Linked DNA regions of Arabidopsis thaliana. The protein of the gene in region 2 purifies or fractionates together with the protein of the main gene of each other region. This does not show direct contact. Each region holds a gene or a part of one and is shown on either strand. Other genes may lie near its edges. The genes, in order: BON2 and CYCA1;1.

Evidence for each region.
Region 1: the proteins of CYCA1;1 (region 2) and BON2 purify together in Arabidopsis thaliana (affinity purification with mass spectrometry, with the first as the bait; one large-scale study listed by BioGRID). This does not show direct contact.

The regions. Positions count from the first base shown.
Region 1 is NC_003076.8:2,297,941-2,303,884, reverse strand, and holds BON2 (Calcium-dependent phospholipid-binding Copine family protein), read right to left. Parts: upstream 4,161-5,944; 5' UTR 3,890-4,160; coding exon 3,740-3,889; intron 3,664-3,739; coding exon 3,616-3,663; intron 3,502-3,615; coding exon 3,353-3,501; intron 3,269-3,352; coding exon 3,220-3,268; intron 3,139-3,219; coding exon 3,082-3,138; intron 2,985-3,081; coding exon 2,796-2,984; intron 2,720-2,795; coding exon 2,585-2,719; intron 2,503-2,584; coding exon 2,441-2,502; intron 2,340-2,440; coding exon 2,237-2,339; intron 2,160-2,236; coding exon 2,045-2,159; intron 1,960-2,044; coding exon 1,883-1,959; intron 1,810-1,882; coding exon 1,672-1,809; intron 1,588-1,671; coding exon 1,423-1,587; intron 1,336-1,422; coding exon 1,222-1,335; intron 1,132-1,221; coding exon 1,035-1,131; intron 958-1,034; coding exon 845-957; 3' UTR 617-844; downstream 1-616. Other genes in the region: ML4 (MEI2-like 4), read right to left, coding at 5,394-5,528, 5,732-5,911. UniProt on the Arabidopsis thaliana protein: Negative regulator of cell death and defense responses. May repress a number of R genes and may have effects in promoting growth and development. May function in membrane trafficking and in fusion of vesicles with plasma membrane.
Region 2 is NC_003070.9:16,774,132-16,779,500, forward strand, and holds CYCA1;1 (Cyclin A1;1), read right to left. Parts: upstream 3,222-5,369; 5' UTR 3,052-3,221; coding exon 2,863-3,051; intron 2,630-2,862; coding exon 2,344-2,629; intron 2,263-2,343; coding exon 2,120-2,262; intron 2,037-2,119; coding exon 1,944-2,036; intron 1,859-1,943; coding exon 1,572-1,858; intron 1,473-1,571; coding exon 1,289-1,472; intron 1,206-1,288; coding exon 1,071-1,205; intron 970-1,070; coding exon 904-969; 3' UTR 634-903; downstream 1-633.

The DNA.
Region 1 (5,944 bases), on a different chromosome or scaffold from region 2:
AAATTATACAAAAATGACATTATATAGCTAAGATTACGAGAAAAGAAAGTGACTTTTTTAATAAGAAAGTCAATCTGATAGAAAAAAGGTTGAGAGTATCTTACAACGACATGTCAATGAATTTGAATTTAAATGAAAAAATTAAACTTTAAAACAGGATATACACATGGCATGTGTAGGTATTTTCAGATTTGTTGACGAGAACGAAGAAACAACATTTTGTGAATTTGCCAAGCAGGGAAAATGAGTTTAACGACGTCACATAATGTAAATTTTTTTTTTAAAAAAAAAATCTTTTTTGCATAAAACGGCTTGACAACTTTTTTAAAAAATTTACTTTCAATTTTATGATAATTATAACACAATACGTATATATAAACAAAATTTCAGATTTAGTATTATGAGATTAAAAATAGATACTATATAATAGAATATTTATATTTTAAGGTCTCGTTTTGTTGCTGTAATAGACAGTATCTGTTTCAGCGACAAGTACGGTAAAGAATAATCAACGGTCACGTTTAATAAAAGTTAGACTTAGAAAGTCCACCTAAATCCCAACCAAATTAAGAAAGTCAACAACTATATATGTTGACCGTTGAAACAGTACATATCTATGTGAATACGCCCAAACCAACTAATAATTTGGCATATATAATAAATTATGTTTTTGACAACAAATATAATAATGAAGAGTGATGAGATATAATTTGACGTGGAATACTGGAAAACGGAAAAATTCCAGACAATATAAAATCGAAAAAAACAAAAATAAAAGCCAAGATAAGACGACAGCGTTTATAGCTGTGACTGACTGATGTATGTACAGTGTTGAGAGTGTGGATCAAGTAGAAGATGGAGTAGTGGTGGTGGGAGTAATATTACGGTTTCTCATATACGTCAAAAATTGTGTTGGCAATTCTGCTAGAAGTGCTTCTACCACTGAGACCTCTCCATCTGCAACAACAACAACAACAACCACAATGATCAGAGACCAAAACTCTGCCTGACAAATCAAGAAACACGAGACTCACATTGTATGTCTCGTAATGCAACAAACTGGACGATATCGCGCGATGCTATTCGACCACTGGAGCTCTCTAATTTCTCTCCTTTATCTCCATCTAGTACCTATACAAACAACCAATACATAAACCTTGTAAGAATCTATTTCAAGAAGTTTTTCAAATGAAGTTAAGCATAACGTTTTTGTTTAAGAACCTCCATTTCTTTATAGTCAGCTCCTCCGACTCCAACGATGAGGATTGATAATGGGAGATCCGATGCACTGACAATTGAGTCTCTCGTTTCTTGAAGATCTGTTATTACTCCATCCTACAAAAAAACCGACATGGTATTTTCATATAGATAAAAACACAAGAATCAGAGGAAAATCACACGTCTTGTTGTGTATAAACTCACTGTGATTATTAACAAGACGTAATATTTCTTTGCACTTTGAGCGAGTGAATCGCTTGCGATTGTTGCAGCAGCGTTGATTACAGGACCAAATAGAGTAGGTCCTGCAAAAGAGACATTGAAGAGAGCGCCATTGTAGGCATTCATGATTCCTTGAATTCCGTCTACCTGAGAAACAATCAAATAACAAAGATTAATTGAGAAATTTTGATACAAAAGTTAGTTCAATGTGAGTAGGATTTGTTGCAAGACCTCGCAATAAGTACTGCTTCCGTTGAGGTTAAAGCAATGTGAGACCGGGATGTCGATTGGACGAGCTCCAAAACCCCATGCGGGAAAGCGTTTGTCCGAGTCATAGAACTGCAACACTTCTCCAACTTCAACTATTGCCTGAATAGAAAGAAGAAAGATCACACACAGTCACCAGCTTCTGCAAATTAACTTGAATAGATCGAGTTCTTACTCTCTGGTAGGCATTTAATCGTCCTGTAGGATCAATGTAATGCAAGGAATCTGGCAGGCGAGGATTTCCATTTGAAGCTGATGGAAGAAGGGACAAATTGGATTAGTTTAAAGAGAGAGAGAGAGAGTCTAGAAAAACTCTGCACTTTTCAGATCTTTTTACCTGTGAAATCAATTGCAACCATGAAGTTCAATTCAAATCCAGAAGCCAAGTATTCTAGGAATGTATGCTGGACGGTTTCAGTAAACTTGTCAACGAAAAGCTGGCTCTTTAATACCTGAAATAATGCTAAATGTTATCAGAATTCTCGCATTTTAAATTGTGTAAAAACCTCTTGTTGTTGAAGGTCTATACCCTATCTTCATGTTTATGTCCAACACCAGTAGGTAAGGCTAAATTGATTCCTTGGCCAGCCAAATGAAGCTTTTCTAAGTCTGACAGTGATTTCTGAACTTTTCTGGCAAAACCAATAAGATACAAGAATCATCTCAGCTTCAGCAAATCATTTTCATATCTCAACCAAAAAAGAATGCAAGGAACTGAGATTTTGTGACTAACCCTATCAGATCGTGATTGCCATTGCCATTGAAGTCTAAGCACTCTATTACCAGTGGGCTGTCCTGCAAGATTACAAAAGAGAAACTAATACATCTTCCTGGTCAGACAAAACTCAGATATAATAAACCCCTTTGGTTGGTTTACCTTACTCCCCACTTGTTGAACACTTAGAGAGACTGGTTTCCAAAGTGGATTGGGATCATTCTTTAAAACTTCTGTTTTAGAGACCGGGATTGGAGTCCCGTGCTCTACAATCTTAGATATCACCAAAAACGGGTCCTGAGCATGAACAACAACAGTGTTATATTCATGTCTGAAGTATACTGAGATAAACTGGTCAAAGAGTATAGCTTACACTTTTAGAGAAAGTATCCTTTGATTCCAAATTCAACCCCCTAAATACAATCTCTGTATTGGTCTTAGAAGCTAAAGACTCCTCAGCATGAACAATAAGCTTTCCATTATGTTGTGGCTGAGTCTGTGCAGCAACACCTTCTTTACGCATAAGTTCTAAAGCAATCGTCCTATTTGATTTGGTAACCACCTGCACAGTCAACACAACATCTAAATCAAACTAATCTATAGCAAGTTTATCTTCTCTTCCTTACACTAAAAATGATGTAATAGAGAGGTTGGCATACCTCGGACAATGTACATGTTGCCTCACCGAGAAATTGCTGTTCGTCGAGCTTAAGCAACTGAAAACATTAAAAAAAAAGTGTAACTTATATTAAGACTACCTAGTGACAAACGAAAAGATGAAAAATTTTGGCAGATACCTCCTCCTTAGAATTTTGAAACTGAGTGTCAATATCATAGACACGAAACCTGTGCAGCAAAAGGTGTTAAAGTTGATTCCTTTTCCTCAAGTTTTTCACACATATAACCGAGGTTTCAAGGAACTTCACTTACAGCAATGTTTGCACAATCTCGAACTGATAACCAATAGTAAAATTCTTAATCCATTTAGGATTCAAAGAATTCAAAACAACTTCACTACGAAACAATTCAGCAAGTGTTCCATCTCTTCCTTTTGTATAAACAACCACCATTGCATCACTCTGAGATATAACAACCAAAGTAATGATATAAGCTTATATACACTATCCTTGAATCAAACCTATAACACTTAATTGGCTCCAGGAATATCAGTTTTCTGGAAGAAAAAAACGAACCTTTGAAATCACGTCCCGGTCTCGCAAATTGGAAGCAGAGAAAGATAACTGCGAACAAAGAAAAAAAAGATGAGTGAAACTAAAAATTTCAAGTCTTGAAGAAGGGAAAAGGGAAGAAACAGACCTCGATCTGAGAAAAGAGGCCATTGTAGCCACGAGACTTGAGATAGTAGTCAACGGCGTCGTTAGGAGTGGCGGCGGAGGAATTAGCCCCACCACCAACACCGACCATTCCTCCACCAGCGTAAGAGCCATCAGACCAACAGCTTCCCATTAGACGGCGAGAGTCTCTTCAGAACAAAAAAAGAGGAGGAGGAGATTGGGGGGAGACGAACAAGGAAAGAAGAGGAAAAATCAGGACAGTGAATTAGATGGGACCCACCTTTGTTTTTCCAAGTCGACGATCTGTCTTGACTCCATTTAATTTCCTTTTATTGTTGTTTTGAAATTATTGACAACATAAAGAATTAAGTATTCCCCAAATTAATTAGTGTAGGTTTATGTTTGATTAGTGGAAAACTAGATGGTCCATATGTATTAAATTGGCTGTAAGATCACGTGAATATATTTACTACAACCGGTCTACTTGTATATATTTTGGTCCACATCGGAAAATTGTCTTAGTATCAGATTTTTGAATTAAGCCGACGTTTAAGAGATAATTTTGTTTATAGTTCTATGGGAATAAAAGTATTTTTAAAAAAAATATATTTTATAATGCGGTGTGACTGTAATTGAAATAGGAACAAAGAAAGAGAGAACGCATCTTTTAGAGGGAGACGTGAATAATAAGACACACCAATTTTACGTAATGACCAATTAAAAAAGATTTCGCCACCAGAAAGGCTAACAAAACTTTTTCAAAAGCATAATTACTACTGGACTACATATATAGTAACTTTTTGTTTCTATAAATATAACAAGAATAACTATATAGTATTATAGAATATAGTTCATGAGATCGGTTCCTTATCCAAGAGAATCATCAAGTATGTGTTGCAGACCAAACCCAGTTGCTTCTTTCTTTCCAAAGCCTTATAATGGATGGATACAAGAGCTGGACTGGAGAAGGAGCCAAGGAGGTCCTCCACTGCCATAAATGGGCCACTTACTCTCAGGGGCCAAAAATGTATCCAACCAAGAATTCTGATAGTCGAAAATTTAGAGACCAAGTGTCTTAGTAGTATTATTTATTCCAAGAGGAAGCCTTAAACAACTGACTGTGTCAGAAGCTTATAAAGTGACCGACTAAAGATTCAAAGAAACACTAAAAACCAAAAGAGAAGAAAGCAATGCCAAAAACTTCGCCCTCAAAAGGGTTTACATAAATGATATTATATGGTCCCAAGCCACGGGCGAAGAAACTGAACACATCGTACTAGGTTGTTACATTTGTATGCAAAGTACAAAGAAAAAGATCCTTGTAGACACAACCCAACAATTTTTTAAGTAAAACAGAAAAATAAAAACTTAGAAAGCAAAAAGAAAAAAAAATCAAGCAAGGTTTTCTCTGGGAGGTTTAGTGATACAACAAAACTTGTGAAGTAACCTGAAGGAGTTTAAAGGGACCAAGACTTCAAAAACTTTCTCCTCTGCAAAATGAGTTTTCTCAGGTAATTTACCACACCCCCAAGGATTTACAGAGCTGTGGGGTTGTCAACGATATATATATATTTTACCTTGTGTTAATCTTTTGGGTCTCTTTTCTTTTACCTCTGATACAAGACGCCTAAAAGGGTTAGTCTGGCTTACGACATGAAAACTGTCTGGCTTATCGGTTACATGGAGTCGTTCCCATTTGCAGGTTCGTCTCGGTTATCAGAGCTACTGCTAAAGTTGGTGTAGTTCTCGATGCTATTTGTTCGATGCTTGCCTGGTCTTGACCGGATGTTTGAACCCATTGGAAATGGTTCCTGCACATTTACAAATGCAGTAATCTCTCATCAAAAACAGCTAATTGAAAGGGAAATAGGTTCTCTCATTAGGACCAACTATGAACCTAATTTATGTGTGTCACGCTATAGTGAATACATAACTACCAGATGATATGATTACTTGCAACAGAAAGAGGTTATAGTTTGAATAAGGATATCAATTGAGCCCTTGTCTTCCTTACCTGATCACCAGCATTTGGACCAGCAGTGTGGAAGAGAATAGGCCTGCAACGTTTGTCTTCGTTCATCAAACTTGAGTTCTGGAAATGGGCAATAAGAGCTGATTTCCCCTGAATCCGACCATATGCAAGCGATGCCACCTTCTCGCTGTTGAACTTTTCCCATTTCTTACCGTTGAATGCCTGTTAAGGTTTTAAACTTGTAACCAAACGCTT
Region 2 (5,369 bases):
TCCACAAGATTAATTGGTCTACAACCAAATTTAGTTTAAGTTAGGTTTTATTGATCTCCCAAAAAAAATTGTTACATCGAAAAACTCGAATTCAAAAATAGATCACCGTCAGATAGTTTTCTACAAAAAAAATTTTGTCATTTGATTTTAATTAAAACTCAAAAGAGCCAAAACTGAGAAATATTGTTTGGAAAAAATATCGAAAAAGCACAAACTTTCAAATTTGGAAAAAAAACATATAAAATTTTGAAATATCACTTAAATACCAAAGTTGTTGTTGACTTTATAATTAAATAGATAATTTTTGTGACTTTACCATTTTGGACACGTCGTTAAGTCAACGGACAAAAAAATTAACTCGGAACCTCTCAGATGTATCATTCATTCATTCCATTACCGACTAAGCTGAAGCATTTAATTGTTCGTTCTCAAAGACATACATATTTTATATAGGTTACAACAAAATTAACGGGGTTAATCAATTTTATTAATAGGTTCTGTTTCTTGTCGCTCTGTAATATTACAAAAATCATTTGTCCTAAAACATTTGATGTCTTACGGAAATCAAGAATATTGCAATTCAAGAATGTTTAAATTGAACATTGAATTCAGTAATTTATCAAATTCATTTATCACTTGATCAATAATAGCCATGAAATCTGCATAACACGTTTGTTTGCATATTTAAGCAGATTGATAATAACTTTTCCCACTTTTACCAATCAAATCATATCACCTAATTACGTCACTTTCTAGAGGAAGCCAAAATAAATCAGCTTAACAAGTTTTCAAAGTGAGATCGTAGATAGCTAATTTTATAAATAGACCAACAACAGCAAAATCATGTACAATCAAACAATTAAATCCAACACAACATTGGAACAAAGTTAAATTAAAGGATTTTTAGCTGTTGTTGAAGAACTCTTGTGGGATTACGGATGGACAAAACTTCTTCGCCACAAACTTGTACTGCAAAAAAAAAACACAAAAATCCAATCGTTATTAGCACATAAAACAACTTAATCATCATTCTTAATTGTTATCACAAATAAATAAACACAACAACTTACTTTGTGTTGACTATACTTCTCTCTAACAGCAGGTAGTGTAGAGCCGTGAGCAGTACTACACAATCGTTGAAGATCCTTCACACATCCTCTCAACTCCATCGCTTTATATTGCGTATAGTGTTGCAACGTCGAGTTCTGATCCAACCAAACAACAAACACATTTTACTACATGATTCTTATAAAGAGTAAAACAGTGTCTTAAGGTTGTTTAAACATACCCATGGTCGTCTTGTTGGGTCTAGAATGTACTTAGCCAAGAAAATGGCGGAAGCAGCTACTAGTGAAGGAGAATGAGAGAGCATAGTGTACTCTAGTAGCGATAATTCCGCAATGTAGTTAGCCATACATTCTAGCTGCATCAATGGAGCTTCATGAACACCATGAGCAGCTCGAACAAAGCGTCTGAAAATTCAAGTTGTACGATCCAACTGGTTAGTAATTAGTACAGAATTGTATGAGATAAGAGAAGGATCTGTTTTGTAAAGCAATCATCTCACTAACCTTAGAAAACATTTCGTAGTTGGTGCAGTCATTTCAAACTTCAAGTAATTCAGAACATCAGATTCCATATCAAGAACTTCATCTTTGAGATATGTATTATCAGTAATGTAACAAAACTCCTCAACTTGTGGAGCACATATCTCTTCATATTTCGCTGCTATCATCATACAAGCCACACCAAGCAACTGAAGTTTCTGTCTACTAATCACATTCCCAGATAAATACCTATCTATATAGTTCACAGTCAAATACAACGTCTCCGGTACAAGCCTATACTCTTCAGACACCTACAAGAAACCGAAAAAACCCTTAATAAAACATCGACAAGAGTGACAAAAGCCATCACATTTTCTCAATATAACTATCATTCACCTCAATAAGCCAATCAACTAAGATTCCACGCATACTCGAATTCACATCTTTCTGAACTCTCTCCATGTAATCAACATCAGGTCGCTTCTTAGCCTAGCATATAGATGATACACAGATTCAGAAAACTTGCAAACACATAAAGCTAAAAATATCACATTCTGGTTAAGAGTTATCACCTCAGAAGCACGAAGATGCTTATAAATGTCACAAGCAAACGTAGCACAAAGCTGAGGATCACCATTGTTACTATCAATGTTAACAATCTGATTCTTATCCATTTTCTTCATATCAGATAACACATCTCTACTACAATAATTATCTGCAATACCAAGCAAATCAATTCAATACCAAAACAATATAAACAACAAAGTCATAGAGAACCATTAGTAAGAAGTAGTACCAATTGTTTCTGAATTCGGCGTTATGAACAGATTACTCAAAGCTTTCCTCTCAATCGAAACAACAGCCGAAACGTCGTCGTTTTCGATATACTCAACTTGAGGACTCTTGTAGGAATCACTTGAAGACCTAGTCTCGTCCATTGATACTGAGCCATCATCAGATTTGCTAGGTGAAGAAGCAACTTTGTGAGGAACTATGCTTTGTTGCAGATTGCTAGAGAAACTGGCATTAACGCAAACACTTGGTGCTATCTTCAATTTCGCTGACTTGTTTGAACAATGTACCTATACAAAACCAAAATCAAACTCAAAATCAATAAGCAATCTCATAGATTCAATCAAAGAAACAATGAATCCATATTCAAAATTGATCACAAAAACCAAATCCACAACAAAAAATGAAGCGAAGAAACAATGGATCTATAGTGAATTAGAGTAAGCGAATCTTCAAATCAAACTAAATAGATCACAGAAACGAAAGATTTTGAAAAATTCATAGCGAAATTGAAGAACCTCACCGAATCAGAATTTTGTAATCGTGAGGCGATTTTTTGATTGGTAATGTTACTTAACGGTGCTCGTTTCTTCGTCATCGCCGGCATAAGTTTAACAGAATTCTCCGATGAAGATGGTGCTTGACGCTTCGCTAATGAAGATTTCGTCGAAGAGGAAAACGAAGATCGCCGATTCTGAAGAATGTTCGACATTTTTTTTCTTAGGGTAAAATGAATCTTCTCTGAGAATCTCTGAAAAAGGAAACAGAGTTTTAATGGCGAAAGAGAAAGAGAAAGAGAGAGAGGTTTTAAAAACAAAGCGAAGGAAGTGAGGTTAAATAATTTTTTGAAATTTGAGGAATGATCGTGACCGTTGATTTTGAAGTGTAGATTTTGTTTTGGAGCGTGCACGAATTTTAAAGGTGTATGTCTGTTATTTAGTATTGATCACTGACCTGTTATATTACGCCACGTATGGGTTAATTAGCTTTTAGGGAAACAATGTGTGACAGTCAGTAACGAGACTCGGTTCGGTTTACTTTTTTTGAATTCGAATTTCAAACGGAAATAAATTCGAATTTCAAACGGTCACCTTTTGGGTGCTCTTTCTCTCTTTTTTAAAATAAGTTGGAGACATAAACCATATAAAGATAAATTTATACATTGAAATCAGGAGCTGCTATTTTTCAATTTTAAATACTTTTACCACGAAAATTCAATGTGATTTGCTGTTTAAAATTTTCAAAATGTGAAATATGGAGTTTATGAGTAAAATATTTGATCATGATATTTCTTGAGTGTTGTTACTTGTTTAGTAACAAGAATACATTAGAGAAATCTCAAGTTCTCATGAATACATTAATTTTGGTATTCACCGATACTAGTCGTGGCTAAGTTAGAAGGTCTATATCAAGTTTTTGATGAATATTGTTAAGACTAGCATTGTTATTAAGAGTTGGATAGGAAGTAGGAATTTTTCATGATAGTATTGATGCTAGTTCATGGTAATATTGATGCTAGAAAATAAGAGTTCGTTAGGAACTTTTGGTGAAGTAAAGATTCACTTAATTGGAAATTATTAAGTGAAATTAATATTAAGTTATTAAGTTATGGTTGATCAAGAAATTAATAAATCTCGTGTCTCGTCATGTTTATCTTTAGGGCATCTCCAACCATAACACCATTTTAGTATTGAAATAACACTATATTTGGTGTAGTTTTCACACTAAAATATTTTTCTTCTCCAACCATAAAACTAAATATCACACTAAAGCTAATATTTTCTATTATTATACTATTAACTAAAATTTTAAAATATTACACAGTATTAAAAATAAATATTACACAACAAAATAGTATGTTAAACAAAATTAATTACAAAAAAGTAACACAATGACAATACAATTGCATTCACACATAATATTACACAAATTAAAATACTACAAGAATACTAATACTCACATATCATTCATCAAATTCCAAAGATGTTTAAATTTAAAACCTTTCTTTAGTTTTGTAATTTTATGTTTTGAATGTTAAGTTGAATTTTTATTATGTATCAGCTATTTTAATATACAATCATATTAAAATAAAATAAAAATTGATACTTAAATGTTTGATGTCGCTACAGTAATACACCAAATATAGTGATTTACTGTACAAGAAAATGGAATCACACCATAATAGTGCAAAGTATAGCGTTTGGTTGGAGACAAAAAGTAAACATCCCCATGTCAAGATAACGTTTTGCCGTCACATTGGACATGGTCTTAAGATGTACAATGGAACGGCAAAACGTTATTTGGAGGTGGTAATATTAACTTTCTGTCTCCAACCAAAGTGTATATTTTGCACTATTATAGTATGATTCTTTTTTTATTTATAATAAATCACTATATTTGTGTGCTACTATAACAATAACAAAAATTGAATTAATATTATTATTTATTTTAATTTTATTAAAATAGTATATTTAGTTATATATAGTATATAAAATATGATTTGTATTGTTATTTAACAATCTAATTAAGTTTTGAAGTAAACATAATGTATCAAAACTATTTTTGTATTTAAAATTTTAATTATATGAAATCTTAATTTGTAGAAAATATTAAAATTAATATAAAAATTTTAATTGAAGATACATAACAAATTTCAATCAACCATTAAAACAGTTTTTTAGCTCGACATAGACAAATTAAGATCGAGAAGCTCATATTGAATTTTGAAATGTTAATTGAACATTTGTTGTCGTTAGAATTAGTATGATGTAATTTATTTTTAGTATGTAAATTTTTGGATTATAATTTTACATTAATTGATAATTTTAAAATATTAACTAAGAAAATGTTCAATTTAACAATATAATAGTGAGAATAGTATTTTTAGTGTGATATTTTGTGTTGTGGTTGAAGAAGAATAAAGCTTTAGTGCTAAATTTACATTACACATATTGTTATTTCAACACCAAAATGATGTTATAGTTGGAGATGCTCTTATACCTTTCACCATCTTCTAGATGAAGTTTTACA